Sus scrofa: one gene and its partners. The protein of the gene in region 4 interacts with the protein of the main gene of each other region in a pairwise test. Links are inferred from orthologs where the notes say so. Each region holds a gene or a part of one and is shown on either strand. Other genes may lie near its edges.

Region 1 (4,287 bases), on a different chromosome or scaffold from region 4:
CAAGCACGAGACAAGTGGCAAGGACAAACACGGCAGCCAGGTGTGGAATAGAGTCAGAAGGTGGAATCTACAGAATCTGAGGTATGACACAGATGAGAAAGGAAGGAAAACTTCATGATTTTTACTGGCCTAACCAGATGAACACTGTTTTTATTTTTTTTCCTTGAAGTAAGGAAGGAGTTAGGGAGGTGGGGAAAATGAAAGTTTAAATTAGGAAGTAACTGGAATTCCTGTTGTGGCCTTGCTGTGGCTGTGGCATAGGCCGGCGGCTATAGCCTGGGAACTTCCATATGCCCCTGGGTGCAGCCCTATAATGAGAAAAGGCCAAAAAAAAAAAAAAAAAAAAAGTGAAAATTCTTACAGTTTATATTATGAGGGGAATGATGCAGAATAGGGGGAAATGTAATGATGATGGTGGAGGTAGGAGAGTAGCCACAGCCATGCCCTAGAAGGAGGTGAGGGGTGGATGCCCATCCTGATCCCTGGTCAATTTCCTCCCACTGCGCTAGCATTGGGGCTGTGGGGTCTGTGAAACCCCCACTGGAGGCGCTGCCCACTCTGGAGTGGGGTACCAGGACTATCTCGACAGTTTGGGGGTCAGCCCTAAACCTTCGGAGGGTCAGGGGGTAGGAGTGAGGGCAGGGCATAGGGTCGGGGCGGAGCCAAAGGCCTTTATACCTCTGTCTGCTGCCTTTGGTGGAGTGTTCTGCAAACTTAACTGTAAGCTCCCCCTGTGTCGACCTCAACTAACCCCACCTCCAAGGTTCACCCCCTCCCTCTTCCAGACCAAGTCTGTCCGATTTAGATATTCCTTTTGTGTGTGTGTCTTTGTGTGTCTTTTTGCCTTTTCTAGAGCCGCTCGCCGCAGGAGCGGCATTATGGAGATTCCCGGGCTAGGGGTCTAATCGGAGCCATAGCCACTGGTCAGAGTCACAGCAACGTGGGATCCAAGCCGCGTCTGCGACCTGCACCACAGCTCACGGCAACGCCGGATACTTAACCCGCTGAGCAAGGCCAGGGATCAAATTTGTTAACCACTGCGCCACGACGGGAACTCCCGATTTAGATATTCTTGAGCTATCAATGGCTGTGCCTTACGCCAAACTATGCCTATCTTCACGGTGGCCTGTGAGGCGAGTATTACTGTCCCACTTTCCCAGTAGGAAACTAGGGTTTAGAGATGACTCAGGTCCAGATCTGCCTGGTTTGCTTGGTGACTTGCTTTTCACTCGGCCAGAGGGAGGCGCAAGGGGCTGGGCGAGCCGCGGGTTGGGCTGTCCAGCAGCCCAGACCCCCCCACACCCTACCCAGGCCCCGCCCCATTAAGGGGACCAGGGAGAGCCTTGCCTTACAGCGCAAAGAGAGACCGGACTTCGTGATTGGGCGGTACGGAAGGATTCGGCGGGGCTTCCTACTGCCTGGGAGACTGCTCATGGGCTCAACTTTTGACGGAGGCGTGGCCACAGGCCACGCCCCCTCCAGCGGGCTCATAACTGATGTCTGCGGCGGGGGCGGGGCCAGAACGCGGGCGGCGGATCCCAGCGCGGCTCTCTGGAGCCCGCTGCTGAGCAGCGCCCCGGAGGGGCCGAGCAGGTACAGGCGACTGTGCGGGGCGTTTCGGGCTGGGCCAGGCGGGGGGGCAGAGGCCTGTTAGGGGCCACAGCGGGCACTAGGGGTCGTGGCCAAAGCTGCGCTTCCTCCGGCGTGCGGGAGCCGCTACCCCCGCCCCCGCCTTCCTGAGGCGAAGCCGGCTGCGGCGGGGCCGATTGGCGCCTGCGCCGCTTCCTGCCCCCGGGACTCGGCCAATGCATGGGGCCGGGGCGGGGAACCAGGGGGAAACCGAGTCACGTCAGGAGGGTAGGCCTGTGGGGGAGGCATCACCCCCACTGAACTCTAGGATGAATTCCCTTCCTGGCCACGCTTTGAAGTCCCAGTCCCCACCGACCTACGCAGGGGCCGCGCACCCGCCCAGTTCCCCCAGCGCTCAGGGGTCTCGCCCTGGGTCACGGCAGCTTCGACTAGTCCGGGAATGGCTAGTACCCGCTCCAGCCGCCTCCCCCCCTTCCCCTCCCCCTCGCGTCCCGAGCCCCCGTGTGTTCCCTCCGTTGGCTCTCCGCACAGTGTCAGCTTACACGCCTTATATAGTCCGAGCAGGCTCCAGCCGTGGCCTGCCTGCCGGGACCTGGGGGCGGGGGAAAGGAGGAACGCCGGCCCCGGACTGGCCTTGCCGTCTAGTTCCAGGCTCAAGGATGGCTTGGGGGGAAGCCAGAGCCAAATTAGCCCTGCGATCCACTCCTGGATGAAAAGAATCTCAAGGCTGGATTCGGGCTCCCCTCACCCACCCTGTCCCTTGGGGAAGGGGGGTTGCCGCTGCCTTTCCAAAGTGAAGTCTGCCAGCTAGCAGCCCAGCCAAACTTAACAAGTTACCCTCCTACCCTTGCCCTGGGTGTGCTCAGCGTCTGCTCGTGCCTTCCTGGCACTAGTCCAAGCCTGATGTCCAGAGCTAGGCCTGCCTGTGTACCCACCATGCCAGCTGCTCACCTTTTCTCTCCTCTCAGGAGCGGCACCATGGATTCCTTCAAGGTGGTGCTGGAGGGGCCAGCACCTTGGGGCTTCCGGCTGCAGGGGGGCAAGGACTTCAATGTGCCCCTCTCCATCTCCCGGGTGAGCCTAGATTGAGGGAGGGGCTCCCCCAGGGGTCTTGGGGTGCTCAGATCTCCAGTGGGTGACAGAAAGAGCCTGAACAGGAGTGAGCCACGGCCGGTAGGCCAGGAGGTGCCCAGGTCCAGATATGTGGGCACTGCCACGAAGACTACCAACCTAACTAGGGAGATACTAGGAGAGGAGCCCCCACACTTCCCTAGCACTGCACTGTACCTGATGCTGTTCCACGAAGCTCCTGTGGCCACCTCCAAGGCCCAGGGGGATGCCCATTCTGAGGTCTCCAGGAAGTGTCTAAGCTCCTTGAGAGAGCAATGCTTGGAGCTAGGCCCCAGGCAGGGCTCTCTGACTGCAGGATCTCACTTCATTCTCACTGCCACCCAGGGAATAGCAACTGTCATCCTGTTTTTCCAGATGAGCTAACTCAGGACTCGGAGAGGTGAAAGGGCTCCTTCAGCAACTCCGTGGCAAAACAGGGATTGGAATTCAGCCACAGGGATGGCCAGCAGTCTGTGTGTGTGAGGGGTGCCTCTCCCCGGCCTGTGTGAGGACCTTCCATCCCATCCACTGGTCCCATTCAGGATGGAGTGGGCTTTGACCCCAAGCAGGGGTTGGGATGGGTCTCTAGGACTCTGACTTCAGCTTCTGAGATCCTGTCCTGGTGGGGGTGGAGCTAGGGGCCGGCTCCTCCCTGTGGCAGGGGGATTGCCTTATAAGCCCAAGAATGCAGCCCCACGCAGGGATGGCCAACTGGTGGCTGGAGTCTGCAGGGCTGAAAAAGGCTGGTCTGGGCCTGGACCCCTGACCACATCAGTGGGCCCCTCAGCTCATCGCCCCCAGGCTGTGGCTCTAGCCATGGGATCGGCCGTGGGACATGTAAAACAAGCTGCCTGCCCTGAGAGAGAGTCCAGCCCTTGGGCTGGTATCTCTCACTGTGGTGGGGGGTGGAGGGTGGGTTCAGGAGGAGGTGGGGACTTCCTGCTCCCATATCCGCTTATCCAGAGAGACCCACCCAGGCTCCTGGTGGGCAGGCAGCTATTGGCAGGAAGCCCAGGGCAAGCACAGCCTAGAGGGGGCCGGAGGGTTGTCCAGCCGCAGCTGAGCTCAAGGGGGCCCCAAAGCAGAGTCTGTCGGAATTGGGCTTGGTGGCCAGAACAGCTAGGCTGTCACTGTTCTCAGGGATCCTACCCTGGGAGCTGCGCTGCCGGAAGGGTAGCTAAGGGCAGTGATCTCCCTACCACATATACCCACCCTGTACACAATTCTCGAGTCTCTCCAGCCCTGGAAACCTCCCCCTGTATACCCCTTCCCTGGGAAAGTGCTAGCCAGTGTGACTGGGTAGCTGTAGGCCTTGGCTTGGCCTCTGAGCCTCAGTTTCTTCCTTGGTGAGGATGGGCAACAAAGTAGCCTAGGGGATGGACTTTCAGATGTGGCCTGCTGGGGGCACCCTGAGCCCAGGCTCCCTTGTCAGCAGGCCTAGCATGTGGGTGGGGCCACCAGCTGAGCCCAGCCCTGGAGTTGGACCTAGGCCCTGGTGGGTGGGCGGGTGTGTAGGGTGGTCTTTTCTGAGCTGGGCCCGCCCTCTCTCCCTCTACCCTGACCCCAGCGTGGAGTGGGGAGGGAGGG
Region 2 (4,108 bases), on a different chromosome or scaffold from region 4:
GGGCCTCACCCGCAGCATATGTAGGTTCCCAGGCTAGGGAACTAATCGGAGCTGTAGCTGCTAGCCACGGCCACAGCAATTGGGATCCGAGAAACACGTGAGGTAGACCACAGCAACCGGGTCTCAACCCATTGAAACCCGAGTCCTCACGGATACTAGTCGGGTTTGTTAACCACTGAGCCAGGAGGGAGGGGGAACTCCTTCCTCATTCCTTTTTTTTTCGTCTTTTTAGGGCCACTAATGGCCACACTCGAGGCATGCGGAGGTTCCCGGGCTAGGGGGTCTAATCGGGGCTAGAGCTTGCCCGCCCTGCACCACAGGTACAGCACCGCCATTTCCGAGCCGCGTATGCGAACTACACCACAGGTCACCGCAACTCCGGATCCTTAACCTGCTGAGCAGGACAGGGATCCAACCTGCAACCTCATGGTTCCTAGTCGGATTCGTTTCCACTTGCGCCACAGTGGGAACTCTGTGTCTTCCTCATTCTTGTTTCCACTACCAGCAAGCCCTGGTGTTTCTACCTGTTAGCATAGGCATCTACTCCTTGGTCCAAAGTTGCCAATCTCCTGTCTGCTTGCAACAGCCTCTTAATTGGTCTGCTCTTATTAATTGGTCTGCTCACTCACTGTTGCCCCTCCCTGATAAATTCTTGGCATAATAGCCAGAATGACCTTTTATTTTTTTATTTTTTAGTCTTTTGCTGTTGTTGTTGCTATTTCTTGGGCCGCTCCCGCGCATATGGAGGTTCCCAGGCTAGGGGTCGAATCGGAGCTGTAGCCACCGGCCTACGCCAGAGCCACTGCAACTCGGGATCCGAGCCGCGTCTGCAACCTACACCACAGCTCACGGCAACGCCGGATCGTTAACCCACTGAGTGGGGGCAGGGATCGAACCCGCAACCTCATGGTTCCTAGTCGGATTCGTTAACCACTGCGCCACGACGGGAACTCCCCAGAATGGCCTTTTAAAAACGTTTATTAGATCATGTCTCTCCCCGCCTAAAATGGCTCAGCGGCTTCACGCTGCAGTATGCCCCCACCCACTCACTGGGCTCTGCCATTGCAGGCCCCATTCAGTTCCTAGAAGACAGACCTTTTTACTGCCTCCAGGCCTTAGCACGCACTTCTTGTGGCAGAAACCCTCTCCCCCCGACCCGTTGTTTGGTTCTCAGATTTAACATTCCCTTCTCAGAGAGTAGGCAGTGACCCTCTCCTTACTACCCTCATCTCGGCATTCTAATGTATTCAGGCACCTGAGCACACTGTGATTTTATTTACATTTTTATTGTCTGTTTCCCCTTACTAGGACTTAAGCTACGAAGACTGGGCCTATGCTAGTCTTGCTCACCAATTAAAAAAAAAGAAATTATGAGCCATGAGATTACTCAACAGCCCGTTATCGACACAGACGAAAGGAGCCGGCCAAAAGGGCTGCAGCTGTTGGCGAGTCCCAACACGGCACCTGGAGATCATTAAGATAACTGCAGCATTAGTGAGAGAAGCCCCTAGAGACTGGGCTCGCGGTGTGTGCAGGTGCGGGCTTTCCTGGCTAAACTCTTCACCTGGGCTCCGCAAAGCCTCAGAATACCTGAAGCAGGTAAGAGAGGTTAGCGGGCCGGGAAGGGAGTCCACCAAGTTTTACACATCACGCCATCTGGGACCGCCCTTTTAGAGAAACAAGGCAATTATGCAACGACCTCAGCTTTACACCTGTCCTGCTTCAGGCCAGCAGACCCAATAGACGGTAGAGTGCCGCGAATCTGAACCGCCCAGCATAAGTAACCCCAAGCAGCACCGCCGGGGCGGAATCGGTCCTGCGCTCCCACCCCCCTCTCCCAGGTAATTACTCCTTCCTTCCGGAAGCTCGGAGGCCCCGCCCACTTCCGCAACGCTCAGTCCGCCGCGCGGCGGGACTCAGCCAATGGCCTGCTTCCCAAGAAACGTTACCTCTGACCTCAGGGCTAATCAAGAGACAGTAGGACTAACGCCTCGCGAGAGGTGAGGTTGAAGCTGTCTCCGCCATCTTGGAGACGGGAGACGGGCGATGGCTGTGGTCCTTCTGCTAATGCAAACAACAAAACGGACACATTAGTCGCTCCCGAGTGAGCCTCTCGTCATTGTAACTGTTGACCAAAGCTACGGAAGAAGAGAGGGTGTCAAAGTCGAGCGCGACGACATTGATAGCAGCCTCAACTGCCTGCTGGGGCGGCAGAAGTGAAGTAACCAGGACCGGAAGGATGGTGCAGTCCTGTTCCGCCTACGGCTGCAAGAACCGATATGACAAGGACAAGCCCGTTTCTTTCCACAAGTAAGTATCCTGAGCGCCTCCTGGGCCTCGCAGGGGCTGGGGGCGCGCGGCCCTGCTCGGGGGCGGGGCCAGGCGCGTGTCCGCGCGAGACCTAGTGGGAGGGGCGGGGCGCCGTCTGGCGCTGGGACGGGGAGCGGTGGGCGTGCCCCTGGCGTCACCCGCGGCGCTCCGCCCCGGGATGCGCGTTCTCGGTTGCGTCGCCGCGGAGGCTGTTCCTCGCGCTCCAGTTTCTAGCGGAGCTCAGGGTAGCTAGTTCGCGGCCCACCCACGAAGCCTAGAATTCCCGTGAGTCGTGGGGTGTCCAGACCGAGAGGCAGCTGGGTCTCACCACCAGGGTCGTAGAGAAGCCAGGTAGTAATGCCACTTTAGCCGTAAAGTTGAAGAGGAAACAGCCGGGAAGTCACGAACTTTGATCCCCTGCGGTGGGGGGAGTCCAGCATCACAGCATTTAGGCATTGACGTGGGCGGGATTTCAGGGAGGATGTTTTGGACTCTGCTCCTGAGGACTGCTGAGTTTTAGAGAGAGCTCCAGGCTGAGCACACTATGTTAACGGGCAGTAGTGGTACACTGTGCATGATAAAATCAGCCGGGCTGTCACGGACCTGGAAGAAGCCCTCGGAGGGGGACACGTTCCCAGTTCTAGGGCCGGTTTCACCTTAGAGGTCCTAGGAGGAAACAGGTCTCTCCAAAGAAAGCCGAAAAGTAGAGTGACAATGATAATCCGATGTCTGCACGATGGCATTTTCATTCAGCCAAATTCTATATTTACAGATGTTATCACATAAAAAGTGTTTTGCAATAATCTCAACCGTAAATGGATGATAGCTAAAGAAATAAAAGCCAGTGATAAATTATACGATTTATAGCGAAATAATTTCAAGAGCAAAATCTTAAGTATTCCTTCAGTTTGGAGGGTGGGGCCTTTTATGTTTAACAGGGAATGTGGATACATTTTTGTACATTTGGTGTAACACTAGAGAGCTGAGGGAGCATAGAGAAATCTTGAGAGTGTTGCTGTTTCCCTTCTAAGGGGAGAAACACAACACTTCCAGATTCATTTGAGGGGGTGATATCTTAATATTACTCTTGATTTATTAGAATTTCTGAAAGCTGATGGATTGGCCTCCAGTACTTTCAAAGTCAAGGGAGTAGGTCTGGAGGTGGTGACACCATCGCAGGCTGTTCAGCTACCCACCTTCCAATTTTTTTTTTTTTTCCTTCGTCTTTTTAAGGACTGTTCCAGCTGCACATGGAAGTTCCCAGGCTAGGGGTGGAATTGGAGCTGCAGCTGCTGGCCTACGCCACAGCCACAGCAATGCCAGATTCAAGCCACATCTGTGACCTACACCACAGCTCATGGCAACGCCAGATCCTTAACCCACTGAGCGAGGCCAGGGATCGAACCCGCACTTCATGGTTCCTGGTCAGATTTGTTTCGGCTGCACCACAACGGGAATTCTAGTTATAGGATTTTAAAGCAAGTACATTTTTTAATTTAATCACTGCACCAGTACTGGGAGAATATGGAAGTTTCTGGGCCAGGGATTGAATCCGAGCTGTGGCTGTGATCTACACCGCAGCTGTGCAATGCTGGATCGATAACCCACTGTACCACAGCAGGAACTCCAAAACAAGTCCATTTTTAACAAACTAAGGTAATAAAGGCACAACTAAAAACTGTCCCCCAAAAATGAGCAAAGTTAGCATTTTCATCAAATACTCATTGGTGTGTTAACACCAGTATAAGCTAGTTCCTTCCAAAGCAGGAAAGTCTGGATGTGCCCTTTTTTGGAATAA
Region 3 (4,237 bases), on a different chromosome or scaffold from region 4:
CCCTAGCCTGGGAACCTCCATATGCCGCGGGAGCGGCCCAAGAAATAGCAACAACAACAACAACAACAACAAAAAGACAAAAGACAAAAAAGACAAAAAAAAAAAAAAAAAGACATTTGCCATGTTTGGGGGGGGGCAATTTTCTCTCTTCGCTAAGCTCCTTCACTTCATCCTCAAAATGAGGACGTGAGGGCTTCCTGGGGGAGGAATTCTAATGCTCCAATTCCTTTGCAGCCTGCCCTGGGACACTCAGGAGCCAGAAATGGCTCAGAAGCTCTGGGTCCTGGAGCAGGTAAGGAATTGGAGATCCAAACTAGAAGCAAGAAAGTCAACAAAAGGGTGAGGAGTAGCATTAAGTATTAATGTCTCCTGAGTACTCTTGAGTACCAGGGTATGGATGGCAGAACATTTCAGAGACGCTTGAATTCCTGGGGAATGAGAAAGCCCTAGTTCACAGCGGTTCCACCGTTGCTGTCAAACTCTGCTCCTCTGTCGGGAAGTTTTCGGGCAATTGGACTACAGATCCCATAATGCACGCAGACTTAAAAAGAGGGTCTCGCCCTGTTCAAAATCCTTTAGAGCCATATGCTAGGGACTACAACTCCCAGAAGGACACGCTCTGCACCGTGGTCCTCACCTTACAGGCAAATTATTCAAGGCCACCCCTGCATCTTCTTTTTTCTAGTCCGAGGAACACGACCCCTTATTTACCAACATCTGAGGGTCACCGGGAGCGAGTTCTCAGCCTCTCTCAAGCCTTGGCTGCTGAGGCGTCACAGTGGCACCGAATGATGACAGGTGAGAATGGGCTGGGGACCTTGGGCTCCTGGGTGTTAGGGAAGAGGGAGTCTGGAGGCCCGGAATCCTAGGTCCTGGTGGGGAGGGGGGTCCGACGACCGCCAGAAACCCTCTGCCTTGGTAAAGAAAGAGCTGGACAGGGCTTGGGGGTTCCAGACCCCAGTAGGAGGGGACTGGATCCCAGGACTGCCGTGTCTGGGGAGGAGAGGACGGGGAGCCTGGACTCCTAGGTTTGAGAGGAAAGTCCTGGGTGTCGGGACTTCTGGGTCCCAAAGTTTGCCATTCTCGTTCTCCGTCCGTCCTCTCCAGGTGGCAGTTTGGACTCTCGAGGAGACCCTCTTCCCCCTGCGTCGCCACCTCCGTCAGATCCCACGCCCTGCGTGTCCTCGCCCCCAAGATCTCCTCCAGTGGCCAGTTCCCACTCCACGGGGTTCTCCCACCGAGGGACTGGGCGCGACGCAGGCCCGGCCTCTTGGGAGCCGACCTGGGATTCCGGGACCGCCCCTCCCGCGCTAACCCCAGACGAGGAGGCGTGGCCTCTGAGAGTCACGCTGCTACAGTCCAGCTTCTGACCCGCCCAAGCAGGGCAGCCAATCAGAGCTGGAGGGCGTGTCCCGGAGGTACTTCCGGGACAGATGGAGCCTCTTCCCTCACCTGAGGGCGTGATCTGGTCCCCTCCCGGTGGCCGAGGAGTGGCTACTTTGGCCAAAGTTTGATTTTCCCAATACTTGTCCAAATTTGGATTAAAACATTGAACTCTTAGTCGATAACTTTCTGTCTGTTTGGAGTTGTGACACCGGTGTCTCGAAGAGGTAGAGCTGGAGTGGTGAACTCCTGGGTCCCGCGGGAGGAGGGGACAGCGGACTCAGCTTTGTGTGTCAGAGGAACGGGGGGAGCTCGAGGTCTGGATTACTGAGTCTGAGGGAGGAGGGGGCCGGCGACCTGGATTCCTGGGTCTGAAGGAAGAGAGGACCCGGGACCTGGACTTTGGAGTCCAAGGTCCGGCAGAGGGGGCCGGACTCCAGGAATCCCGAGTTTGAGGGTTGGGGGACCGGCCTCCTGGGTCTGAGGGAGGAGGGGGCTGGGGCCAAGTTCCAGGCTTCTGGCTTTCCTGGCAACGCCCCCGGGGCCGGGCTTCAGGATCCAGCCCCTATTTATGGTTCGACCCCAAGACCTCACCGGACTTCAGAGGGGGATAGAAGCCTCGAGTGAGTGTGAGTGAGTGGCCGAAGGAGACCTTCTGACGCGGGATGGCAACGGGAACGCGCTATGCCGGGAAGGTGGTAATCGTGACGGGGGGCGGGCGCGGCATCGGAGCTGGGATCGTCCGAGCCTTCGGTGAGTGGGGTCTGGTCGGCTCTGAACAGTGGAGTCTGGGAGCGGAGGGACCCGGGGGCTAATGGGTGTGGGACGAAGTATCTTCTGTACTGGAATCTAGATTCTTGTCTCGTAAAATCCAATTTGCAAAGTTAACGAAGGGAAGGCAGAGGTGGCCTGGGGCCTGAGATTGCGGCGGATTTTCAAATGCCATTGACTCCCTTTCTCTGGGTCTCAGCTATTGCTACAGAATGGGGGGCCGGGGGTGGTGGTTGAAGGAATATGTCTTTTGGAGGTTTAGGGTTTACTCTAGAACCCAGGGATGGAGACTCAGGAGCCCCAGAAGTCACCTGGAATAGCCAAGGAGAAGGCTAGGCTTCTGCCTTTTGCCCTACGGGATCATCATGAGACTTTGGGGTCACGAGGGGAACAGAGCTGGGGCGGTGGTGGGGGGGGAACGGCCCTGTTCCGGGTGGCCACAGAGGGCAGCAGAGATCTTCACCAAGGTCTCTGCAGGGCTAACCTATTCCCTGTCTATTCGCAGTGGAAAGTGGCGCCCAGGTGGTGATCTGTGACAAAGACGGTGAGTGAGGGTCCCCCAGTCCTCAGCCCACTGCCTCCTCCCTTAGATTCAAGAAGAATACAGGCCCCAGCACCCTCCTCCCTCAGACCCAGGATCCAGCCCCAGCCCTCCTCCCTCAGACCCAGGATCCTGGGCCCCCAGCCCCTCCTCTCTGAGACCCAGGCTCCAGCCCCCAGCCCTTCTCTTCCTGCAGAGTCCACTGGTCGGACCCTGGAGCAGGAGCTGCCTGGGTCTGTCTTTGTCCTCTGTGACGTGACTCAAGAGGATGATGTGAAGGTGAGCGCGTAGTTTCTGTCCCTCCCCGTCCCCCTCAATCTCCAATCGTTCTCTCTCTCCCTTCACCCCGGGCTTTGCACATGCTATTCCCTCTACCCTTCCCCATCTCCTGGCTAAATGACACCTGCCCCCAGAGTCTCAGCTCAGTTTCATCGCAAAGCTTTCCTAACTCGGCTGGCCACGTCCTGTGTCTGCCGAGAAGATTCTCCTCTATCTCCCAGGCCTTCAAGGCCCCTGGTCCCTCCTGTCACATGATCTGGATCCAGTAAGAGTTCTCCTTCTCCCAGGGTTTCTCCCCTTCCCTTCATCTGCTCCCCCATCCCCCACCCTCCTGGGTCTCTGGAGTAGTGAGCTCAGGGTGTGTGTCACCAGCCCTCTGGTCTCTGGCACCCTGGCGTCCAGTCTCCTCATCTCCTGCCATGCCTGGCGATTTGGGGTCGGCCCCCACAATGTCCTGTCCCCTCCGCGGTGACTCCGCTTCTGCCACGTCTCACTTGGGGGAGCCCAGCAGGGGCGCCAATGCTGTTCACTCACAAGACAGCTTTCTCCTCAGACCCTCTTTCTGAGACCATCCGCCGCTTCGGCCGCCTGGACTGTGTGGTCAACAACGCCGGCTCCCGTGAGTTGTCAACCCGCTTCCCGGGCTCTGTCCCATTGCTGCTCTGTGTCCCCAGGCCTGTGCCGCCACCTCTTTATGCCTCAGTTTCTACATTTCTAAAATGACAATGACCACCACTGTCCTTGCCATTACAGGGTGTTGAGAGTATTAAATAGTGTAACTGGGCGGAGTTCCCGTCATGGTGCAGAGGAAATGAACCTGACTAGGAACCATGAGGTTGCGGGTTCAGTCCCTGGCCTTGCTCAGTGGGTTAAGGATCTGGCTGTGAGCTGTGGTGCAGATACGGCTCGGATCCCGTATTGCTGTGGCTGTGATGTAGGCCAGAGGCTGTAGCTCCGATTCGACCCCTAGCCTGGGAACCTCCATATGCCACGAGTGCGGCCCTAAAAAAAAAAAAAATTGTGTCACTGCTCAGCCCCCTAATCACCCTAACTGTCTTGGGCAGACAGCGTCCATCTTGCAGCCTCCGTTTTGGTTTGGTTTGGTTTGGTTTTGGCCATGGCATGCAGAAGTTCCAGGGTCAGGGATTGAATCTGCGCCACAGCAGCAATAATGCCAGGTCCTTAGTCTGCTGAGCCACCAGGGAACTCCAACCTCAGTTTCTTTAAAGTGAGGCGGATGGCTCTTTTTTTCTGTGACTGTGA
Region 4 (4,158 bases):
AAAAAGAGGGTCATTTGTCCTCTGGAAAATGTCCTATTCTGGATTTTGGCTGGTTGCCTCATTTTCTCCATAATTATTTTTTCTGGTAGTTAAATTTAGAGGCTTAATTTGAATCAGGTTCAAATTTCTTGGCAAGAAAACTTAGATGGTGTTTTACACTTTCTATTGCATCACATCAGAAGACACCTAATAACTAATTGTTCCACTTTTAATGATATAAAAATTGGTCACTGGATTTGGGTATTGTGAGCTTGATTTATCCATTTTAAAACTCCCTATCTACTTTTTCCCCTAATGATTTTTTTTTAATGGGCACACCCACTACGTATAGAAGTTTCCCAGCCAGGGACTGAATCTGAGCTGTAGCTGCAGGTCCTTTAACCCACTGCTCTGGGCTGAGAAACCTGCACCTCTGCAGTGACTAGAGATGCCACACTCTGATTCTTAACCCACTGGCTGCAGTGGGAACTCCTCCCTGGGAGGTGATTTGGGGAAAACTGTTTGTAGTTACTGTGAACTTTTTTTTTTCTGTTTGTCTAAACCCCTGCCCACAGGTGAACCAATGTGTCATTGGTACTGCCCAAGCCAACAAGAAATGAAGACGGATCTAGAGTGTGTGTGTGTGTGTGTGTGTGTGTGTGTGTGTGTGACACACACGGGGAAGGGAGGTGGGTGCGGGTGCTTTCTTGGTGGGGGGTGCTGTGATATCTGGGCCTATCAAATAAAGAAGAGGTTTTTTCGCTGTTTTTAAATAAAGGTTTTATTAGCGGTTGCCCAATCAGGGAGATACTTTTCATATCTGTAAAGATGGGAACTGTGGCTCTTCTGTTCTACCCAACAGGCCATGCCCATGCCTTCAGCTCCCATACCCTGTCTCGTGGTCCCCACCTGGGAGGTGTGCCCACCAGGTGGCCAGCCTCCCCTGTGCCACGGCCCCCGCCTGGCAAGAGCACCCCTGGTACTTGTGGGAGGTGGGCGGGGCCGGCGCGCCCTCCCACAAACTGCTGGCTCTCTCCCGCTCTTTCCCTGCCTTCGCGTTCGAACCGCCAGGCCTGCCCCGTCCGCTGCCCATTGGCTGGCTGCTGGTCCGAGCACCCGCCTTGGGAGCGCGGGGCGGGACGCAAGCCCGGACTCTCTCGCGCCAACTGCCTGGGCCACCGCCCGGTGAGGGGGGGGCTCGGTCCTCCCAGGTGCCGCGCGCGGGAGGAGCCACGCGTGCGCAGAAGCGCGACTGCGGGCGGGGCGGGGGGGGCGGGACACAACCCAGCCACGGGGAGGGCGGGGCCGGGGCGGAGGCGGGAGGAGGGCGTGGCGGGGCAATGGGAAGGGTGAATGGAGGGCGGGGTCGTGAACTGAGCCGGGGGGCGGGACTTGGAGTGACCATGAAGGCTGGAGGGGCAGTTAACGGATGTGGCACAGTGCGGGGGCCAGGCCGGAGGCCGGCGGTGGGGAAAGGGGATTCCCTCCTGCCCCGAGGGCAGGTCTCCCTTTGGAGGAAGGGGCTACGGGGATTCCCTCTCACGGCCGGTCCGACTGTCCGCCTGCCCCAGCCGCGGAGAGGCCGCCGCTTGCTTGGCGCCCTCCAGGCCTGCTGGAGGTGAGGGAGGTGGGGTGAGGTGGTGCCCGCCCCCCCACTCCGGCTCCTCCTTCCCCCCAGTCCTTCCCTCCCACCACCCTCCCCCCGAGCCGGTTTGTCCCTCCCCTCCCCTCCTCTCCCCTCCTTCCCCCCGCCGCCTCCTCCTGCCGCTGCCGCTGCTTTGGCTGCTGCGTCATACGCCCCAGAGCTGCCGGGACGGAGGGGCTGGGCCTGGGGACCCCCGGGTCGCTGCCTGCACGCCCCCCGACGCCCAGACGTGCCCTCCCGGCGCGAGGGGTTCGCCTGGGTATCCCACGTCTGCCTCTGCCCGGCTCCCGGCGGCCCCAGCTGTCACTGGTAAGGAGGTGGCGGGAGGCGCCCGTGGGGGGGGGGCAGGGAGCCGGGGGTCGGCGCGCAGGGCGCGGGCGGGAGAGCCGCGCCGCCCTTGCATCGGGTCGGGCTGGGCCGTCTCAAGTCCCCTCTCTCGGACTCGCGGTCCTGGGGAGTAGAGACCGGGACTGGGACACGCCCCCCTCCCGGGGCACTCAAGGAAGTTATCTAACCCAGGGGCCGGGAGCCCCGAATTTGAGGGTGACCTGACATAACCTGGTACCAGGATGATTGTTCTGAATGAGACACGCGGGTCGGGGAGGCAGCCGTTCTCACTCTGGAAAACATCTCCAGAAAAGCTCCCAAAACACATCTCTGGAAAACAGCACCCCAATTATGACACCCCTAAAGAGCAGTAGAAGGTGACAGTAAAAACAGAGTGGTAACCTTTGCTTCTGCAACCATCACTTTTGCTAAAATCTCAAGGCCAGGATATAACATCCCAAGGGAGCCGGAAACTAGAGAACTAGGTTGGGGAGGGGGTGCATGGTAGGGAGAAGAGAGCCAGGGGTGGCTCCGGTGAGGCTGAGGAAGGGCCTGGAGGTTCCCTTGCACCCTCTCAGGGATATGGAGACTGGGACACACCTGCTTGAGTCCTTGACAGAGAAATACACAAGGAAAATGGGGACCAGTTCCTCAGCATTCAAAACTTTCTCCTCCCATCCCGCTTCTGGCTAGGCCCCCCCAGGATGCAATGGCACAGCCCCCCCGGCTGAGCCGCTCTGCTGCCCCCCCACTTTGGGACCCAGCTTCCTCTGCTTCCACCTCAGGCCCCAGGCCTCGACTTTGGGAGGGTCAAGATGTGCTGGCCAGGTGGACAGATGGGCTGCTATACTTGGGGACCATCAAAAAGGTATGACCTTTGACTTCTGACCTGTCACCTTTTCCCCATTCCTCCTATCTAGTTCTGATTCCCATTTGATCTTCTGGGCTCACCCATTGCAGGTGGACAGTGCTCGGGAGGTGTGTCTGGTCCAGTTTGAGGATGATTCCCAGTTTCTGGTTCTATGGAAAGACATTAGCCCTGGTGAGAGGCCTGCATCCCATGGATAACAGATACCTGGCATGGGGGTTGGACAGGCCCCCTGAACGTTGTGTTCCTCCCCAACAGCTGCCCTCCCTGGGGAGGAACTCCTCTGCTGTGTATGTCGCTCTGAGACTGTGGTCCCTGGAAATCGGCTGGTCAGCTGTGAAAAGTGTCGCCATGGTGAGAGGGCAGGACACCTGAAGGACCCAGCTTGCCCTGGGTCTTCCAGGCTGCCTCTCCCCCCTTCCCTCCAGCAGTGGTTCTTATGTCACCTGCCCTGGCCGGTCTCCTCAACCCTGTAACCTCACTCCCTCCCTGTACAGGGAGAGGCACCCATGGGTGGAGATGTGTGAGCTTTGCAGGCAGAGGGTACTTCAGGTACACCTTTTTCTAAGCACATGACCTTGGGCCAGTTCCTAAACCTCTAAGAGCCACAGTTCCCTCCCCTGCTTTTTTTTTTTGGTCACTTTGGAGAAAGAATTCAGCAGAGATTGAGGACAAGTGAGGCTATTAAGTGTTTATTTAGAGAGCGAAGATAGGTGCAGAGAAAATATAGGTACAGGCAGGCTGGGCAGGGGAGGGGGTGGGAAGGGAGAGAGAAAAAGAGAAAGAGCAAGAGAGGAAGAGCCTTCCCTGCTTATAAAGTAAAGGTCATACACCCACCCTGCAGGACCATGATCAAGAAGGAAATGAGAATTTCCAGCTGTGGCTCAGTGGGTTAAGGACCCAGTGCTGTTTCTGTGAGGATGCAGGTTCAATCCCTGGCCTCAGTGGGTTAAGGATCCCATGTTGCCATGAACTGCAGCATAGGTCACAGATGTGGCTTGGATCTGGTGGCGGTGGTTGTGGTGTAGGCCGGCAGCTGCAGCTTTGATTTGACCTCTAGCCTGGGAACTTCCATGTGCTGCAAGTGCAGCTGTTAACAGAGAAAAGAAGGAAATCAGATAAGACTCTTCCCATCCCAATACCTGGCACACACAGGTCTGCAGGCCGTAAGTAGCCTACTCTCAACATTGTCCTTATTCAGCTTATCACCAGGATTGCCACGTGCCAAGGGCCCCAGCCCCCGGAGAGGGAGAGGGCACACCCTGGGTCTGCCGCCAGTGCGTCTTTGCCATCGCCACCAAGGTAAAGGCATCTTCCCCAGGAGCCCTGGACTGCAACC
Region 5 (3,928 bases), on a different chromosome or scaffold from region 4:
AAGAGAAAATAATAATAATAACAATAATAATAATAATTTCATATCGGATTTGTGTCTATTTTTCCTAATGATAAAAACCCTGTCAGGAGTTCCCACTGTGGCTCAGTGGAAATGAATATGACTAGGAACCATGAGGTTGTGGGTTCAATCTGTGGCCTCGCTCAATGGGTTAGGGATCCGGCGTTGCCATAAGCAGTGGTGTAGATCGAAGACACAGCTTGGATCTGGAGTTGCTGTGGCTGTGATGTAGGCTGGCAGCTGTAGCTCCAATGAGACCCCTAGCCTGGGAAACTCTGTATGCCACGGGTGTGGCCCTAAAAAAAGAAAGAAAAAAAAAGCAAAACAAAAACCCTGTCATAATCAACTCGTCCATTAAGCAGGAAGCCATTTTCCATGTATACATTAGCATTATATACTTTAACTTTTACCTTCCAATAAATATTGCTTGCTTTCATCTATGAAAATGACAATAAGATTTTTATTTTATACCAACATATTTCTTAAAAATTATACCATGAGGATCTTGCCAAAAACGACTATCCTATTGCACAGCTTAGGCACAGTTTACATACAAAAATGAAAATTAACAAAATGAGCCTGTACTATAACAAACTGTGTTATAACAAACCATAACAAACTGTGTTATAACAAACCACAGTTACAGCAGGCTTTGGTGTATTTCTGAGATTTTAAGGCAAACAGGGTAACAAAACAAAAGGAGCTAACAGCAATAATATCTATTTCAATTAAGAACTTGTTAACTGAAGTTAATTCACAAAATAACATACAGGTATTCTCTACTTAGAAAAAGCCTGGAGTTACCCTCGTGGCTCAGTGGTTAACGAACCCGACTAGGATCCATGAGGATGCCCTTTCGATCCCTGGCCTCACTCAGTGGGCTAAGGAGCCAGCGTTGCTGGGAGTTGTGCTGTAGGTCGGATCTGGCTTTGCTGTGGCTGTGGCACAGGCCAGCAGCCCATAGCTCCGATTCACCCTCTAGCCTGGGAACCTCTATATGCCATTAAGTGCAGTTCTAAAAAGCAAAAAAAAAAAGAAAAAAAGAAAAAGAAAAAGCCTAATTTGGAGTTCCCATCATGGCTCAGTGGTTAATGAACCTGACTAGTATCCATGAGGATGCATGTTCAATTCCTGGCCTCGCTCAGTGGGTTAAGGATCTGGTATTGCCATGAGCTGTGGTGTAGATCACCGATAAGGTTCAGATCCTGCACTGCTGTGGCTGTGGTGTAGGCTGGCGGCTACAGCTCCAATTGGACCCCTAGCCTGGGAACCTCCATGTGCCACGAGTGTGGCCCTAAAAAGACAAAAAAAAAAAAAAAAAAAAGGAACACTAAGCCAGCTATAATGGAAAAAATAAAAATCATTATTAAGTAAATAAAATTTAAAAAAGAAAAAGAATAATTCAATAAATAAAAACTCAACCATACAACAAGCTTAATAAGAGCGCTCTTCTGCATTTCAGATAGTCTATGTACTTCAGAATGTCATTAACATATAAAGGTCAGATGAATCAACAACTACCAATACTGATTAATACAGTTGTTAGCAGAAATGTATCATTTGATGTCATATAAAACCAACATTAGGTGAAAAATCATAGGTGTCTACTATTTAAGATTCTAAGAAAATTTCAGATATCTGACCCAGTGGTTCTGAACAGTTTGTGCATTAAAACCACTCTGGGAATGAAAAAAATACACTGATGTCAACTTCATCAGAACCGGGGGCCTAATTTTTATTTTTTTTTTTTTTAAGTCCTCAGCTATTCTAATATGAAGTCAGGAATAAGAATTTTCAATAGCACAGATTATAAATCTTCCTAGCTTATTCTATAAACCACTGAAATCAGTTCTCCCTTCCGAATCTCTATTTATCTATATATGGAAAAACGAATTCCACATATTTCAATTGATTTCTTAGTAAATACATTTTAGAGCATCTACACATGATACAATTTCAAAGTTCAGTCATAGGGCAATTCACATTCCCCAGAGTTAATGGGACTTTTGGAGACTTCTCAAAAGTGCTGACAAACTGTACTACAAAAAGAAAGGAAGGAGCAGGTCAAGCAAAAATAGAGCTCTCATTACAGAAGTAATACGATAGTGAAAAGTGTACTTTAAAGCCAGTCAGCTGTGGCTCCACTATACAGTGTTATTCGAAACTTTAGTTTCCTCACCCGTAAAACGAGAATCAACATTTACCTCTAATAGATATTAACGATCTTACATACCTAACGTAGTACCTGGCAATAATAATGGCTCAATTTAATTTAAAAAAAAAAAAAAAAAAAAAGGCTAATCAACGCCTGTTGGGCTGAACTACAAGCAGAGGACCTGGAGAAAGACCAGCCCAGGTCACTCTAACATGTCGATAGGCTCCTTTTCACAAATGTCCCCGTTGGCGACTCCAAGCAGAAGACTAGCATGACCAGGAGACCATGCAACCTCAGGCCTCAGGAAGGGAGGGCAAAGCTTGTAAAGCCGAGAGGGGCCCAGAGGGCCGCGCATACCGGCCCCCAACAGCCAGGGCCGCTGTAGTGCCGCCAGATCTCCGGCATGAACTGGAGGCAGATGGCGGAGAACAGAGTACGCAAGGTCCCTCACCTTCACCACCGCTGTCCCCCGGCTGCCCTGACGACCACTGTCTAGTCCCGCACCAGGCCTGTTTACAACCAGGGCAGCCATCCTAGGAGGTGCAGTGCCGCAGAAGCAGCAGTCAAGGCCTTCACTAAGAGGCGGGGTAGAGCCACCTACCCAGAAGCCTAGGCGCTCGCTGCTGGTGCACAGGCGCAGTACGACGCGGAGAAGCCGCGGGGCCGACTTCTTCGCTCCTCCTTCTGGCACTCGTTTGCTGATTGGCTGCACACTCTTCAGTGGATGCGCTTTGTTATTTTGTTATTATTGAGGAGTCTGAACTTGATAGAAGGAACAAAATTAAGGGAAAAAAGAGAGGATAAAACAGAAGAAAATTGTTGGGATGAAACTCCTACCCCAGCAATGACTTCTTCCCTCTAACGAACGGAGACCGGGGACTACATCTCCCTGCATGCCATGCGGCTTTTAAACTACAAATCCCAGCGTGCCACATTTATATCAATTACTCTGCAGTGTAGGTATTTGGGAGGTTGTGTATTGTTACCGTGGAGTGCTTTCTTGAAAGAGCGGCGTGTGGCTGTGGCTGGAAAATAGAGAAGTATTTTATGTATAGGCCTGTAAGAGGCAAGAGATGACTTTGGTAAAAAGGAGCCGTTGGGTCAGTAAAGGACGTGGTTAGAAGAGTATATAAGGCGCTACCGGCAGACAGAAACTGTTGGGAGTGTCTTTAATGCCTTGTCTTCACGGACGTGCGCTTTTCTGTTTTCTTCCGGGCTGTTTGAACCGCTTCAGCCTCCGTAGGCAGTGGCTCCAAAGTGCCGGTCACAATGGAAGTGAATCCCCCCAAGCAGGAGCACCTGCTGGCCTTGAAAGGTAAACTTTGCGAACCCGGCTCCCAGTAATCTGTTTTCTCCCCTTCTCTCACTAGTTCTCGAAGCTTCATGGCACATAGACCTGCCTCTGGAATGTAGGCCTCGTCCTTCTTAAGCACTGTCAGTACTCGTCCTCCTCTCTGTCCTTGGGCGCCCAGCGTGAGGAAGCCGTTTCCTCGCTTTGGGTTTTGAGTTTGAGAATCGCCCTGTAAAATGGAATAGATACGTGGTAAATTACTTACTCTGTTATATGCTGCTGCAGTCACCGGAGAGATTTTTGGCAGTAGTTGACCTCCCTACCCTGGGGAGAGCCCTGTCAAATGAGACCATTAACAGCGGGTATCTAAAGTGGTTTTTTCCTCTGTCTCTTATCTCTTGACGCGGCAATGACAGTGTTACCAGGCTTCAGCTTCATTTGTGAAATTTAGTCTAGTTATTGTG

Evidence for each region.
Region 1: the proteins of PHF1 (region 4) and PDLIM7 interact in binary tests that used the Homo sapiens proteins (3 or more experiments, as listed by UniProt). The two-hybrid records come from large-scale screens. The link is inferred for Sus scrofa from reciprocal best matches to the Homo sapiens genes PHF1 and PDLIM7.
Region 2: the proteins of PHF1 (region 4) and THAP1 interact in binary tests that used the Homo sapiens proteins (3 or more experiments, as listed by UniProt). The two-hybrid records come from large-scale screens. The link is inferred for Sus scrofa from reciprocal best matches to the Homo sapiens genes PHF1 and THAP1.
Region 3: the proteins of PHF1 (region 4) and HSD17B14 interact in binary tests that used the Homo sapiens proteins (3 or more experiments, as listed by UniProt). The two-hybrid records come from large-scale screens. The link is inferred for Sus scrofa from reciprocal best matches to the Homo sapiens genes PHF1 and HSD17B14.
Region 5: the proteins of PHF1 (region 4) and TRIM23 interact in binary tests that used the Homo sapiens proteins (3 or more experiments, as listed by UniProt). The two-hybrid records come from large-scale screens. The link is inferred for Sus scrofa from reciprocal best matches to the Homo sapiens genes PHF1 and TRIM23.

The regions. Positions count from the first base shown.
Region 1 is NC_010444.4:80,451,526-80,455,812, forward strand, and holds the start of PDLIM7 (PDZ and LIM domain protein 7), read left to right. Parts: upstream 1-1,487; 5' UTR 1,488-1,593; intron 1,594-2,558; 5' UTR 2,559-2,568; coding exon 2,569-2,664; exon of another isoform or gene 2,665-4,287. UniProt on the Homo sapiens protein: May function as a scaffold on which the coordinated assembly of proteins can occur. May play a role as an adapter that, via its PDZ domain, localizes LIM-binding proteins to actin filaments of both skeletal muscle and nonmuscle tissues.
Region 2 is NC_010459.5:11,770,522-11,774,629, reverse strand, and holds the start of THAP1 (THAP domain-containing protein 1), read left to right. Parts: upstream 1-1,308; 5' UTR 1,309-2,239; coding exon 2,240-2,310; intron 2,311-4,108. UniProt on the Homo sapiens protein: DNA-binding transcription regulator that regulates endothelial cell proliferation and G1/S cell-cycle progression.
Region 3 is NC_010448.4:54,141,344-54,145,580, reverse strand, and holds the start of HSD17B14 (17-beta-hydroxysteroid dehydrogenase 14), read left to right. Parts: upstream 1-1,437; 5' UTR 1,438-1,610; intron 1,611-1,970; 5' UTR 1,971-2,048; coding exon 2,049-2,136; intron 2,137-2,659; coding exon 2,660-2,698; intron 2,699-2,891; coding exon 2,892-2,974; intron 2,975-3,511; coding exon 3,512-3,593; intron 3,594-4,237. UniProt on the Homo sapiens protein: Catalyzes the NAD(+)-dependent oxidation of L-fucose, yielding L-fucono-1,5-lactone, which rapidly converts spontaneously to L-fucone-1,4-lactone. Can also act on D-arabinose and L-galactose, with lower catalytic efficiency. Does not use NADPH.
Region 4 is NC_010449.5:29,712,939-29,717,096, forward strand, and holds the start of PHF1 (PHD finger protein 1), read left to right. Parts: upstream 1-1,358; 5' UTR 1,359-1,933; intron 1,934-2,644; 5' UTR 2,645-2,660; coding exon 2,661-2,819; intron 2,820-2,911; coding exon 2,912-2,993; intron 2,994-3,077; coding exon 3,078-3,173; intron 3,174-4,020; coding exon 4,021-4,121; intron 4,122-4,158. Other genes in the region: kinesin-like protein KIFC1, read left to right, coding at 555-599. UniProt on the Homo sapiens protein: Polycomb group (PcG) that specifically binds histone H3 trimethylated at 'Lys-36' (H3K36me3) and recruits the PRC2 complex. Involved in DNA damage response and is recruited at double-strand breaks (DSBs).
Region 5 is NC_010458.4:44,143,492-44,147,419, forward strand, and holds the start of TRIM23 (E3 ubiquitin-protein ligase TRIM23), read right to left. Parts: upstream 2,801-3,928; 5' UTR 2,706-2,800; coding exon 2,625-2,705; intron 1-2,624. Other genes in the region: TRAPPC13 (trafficking protein particle complex subunit 13), read left to right, coding at 3,443-3,488.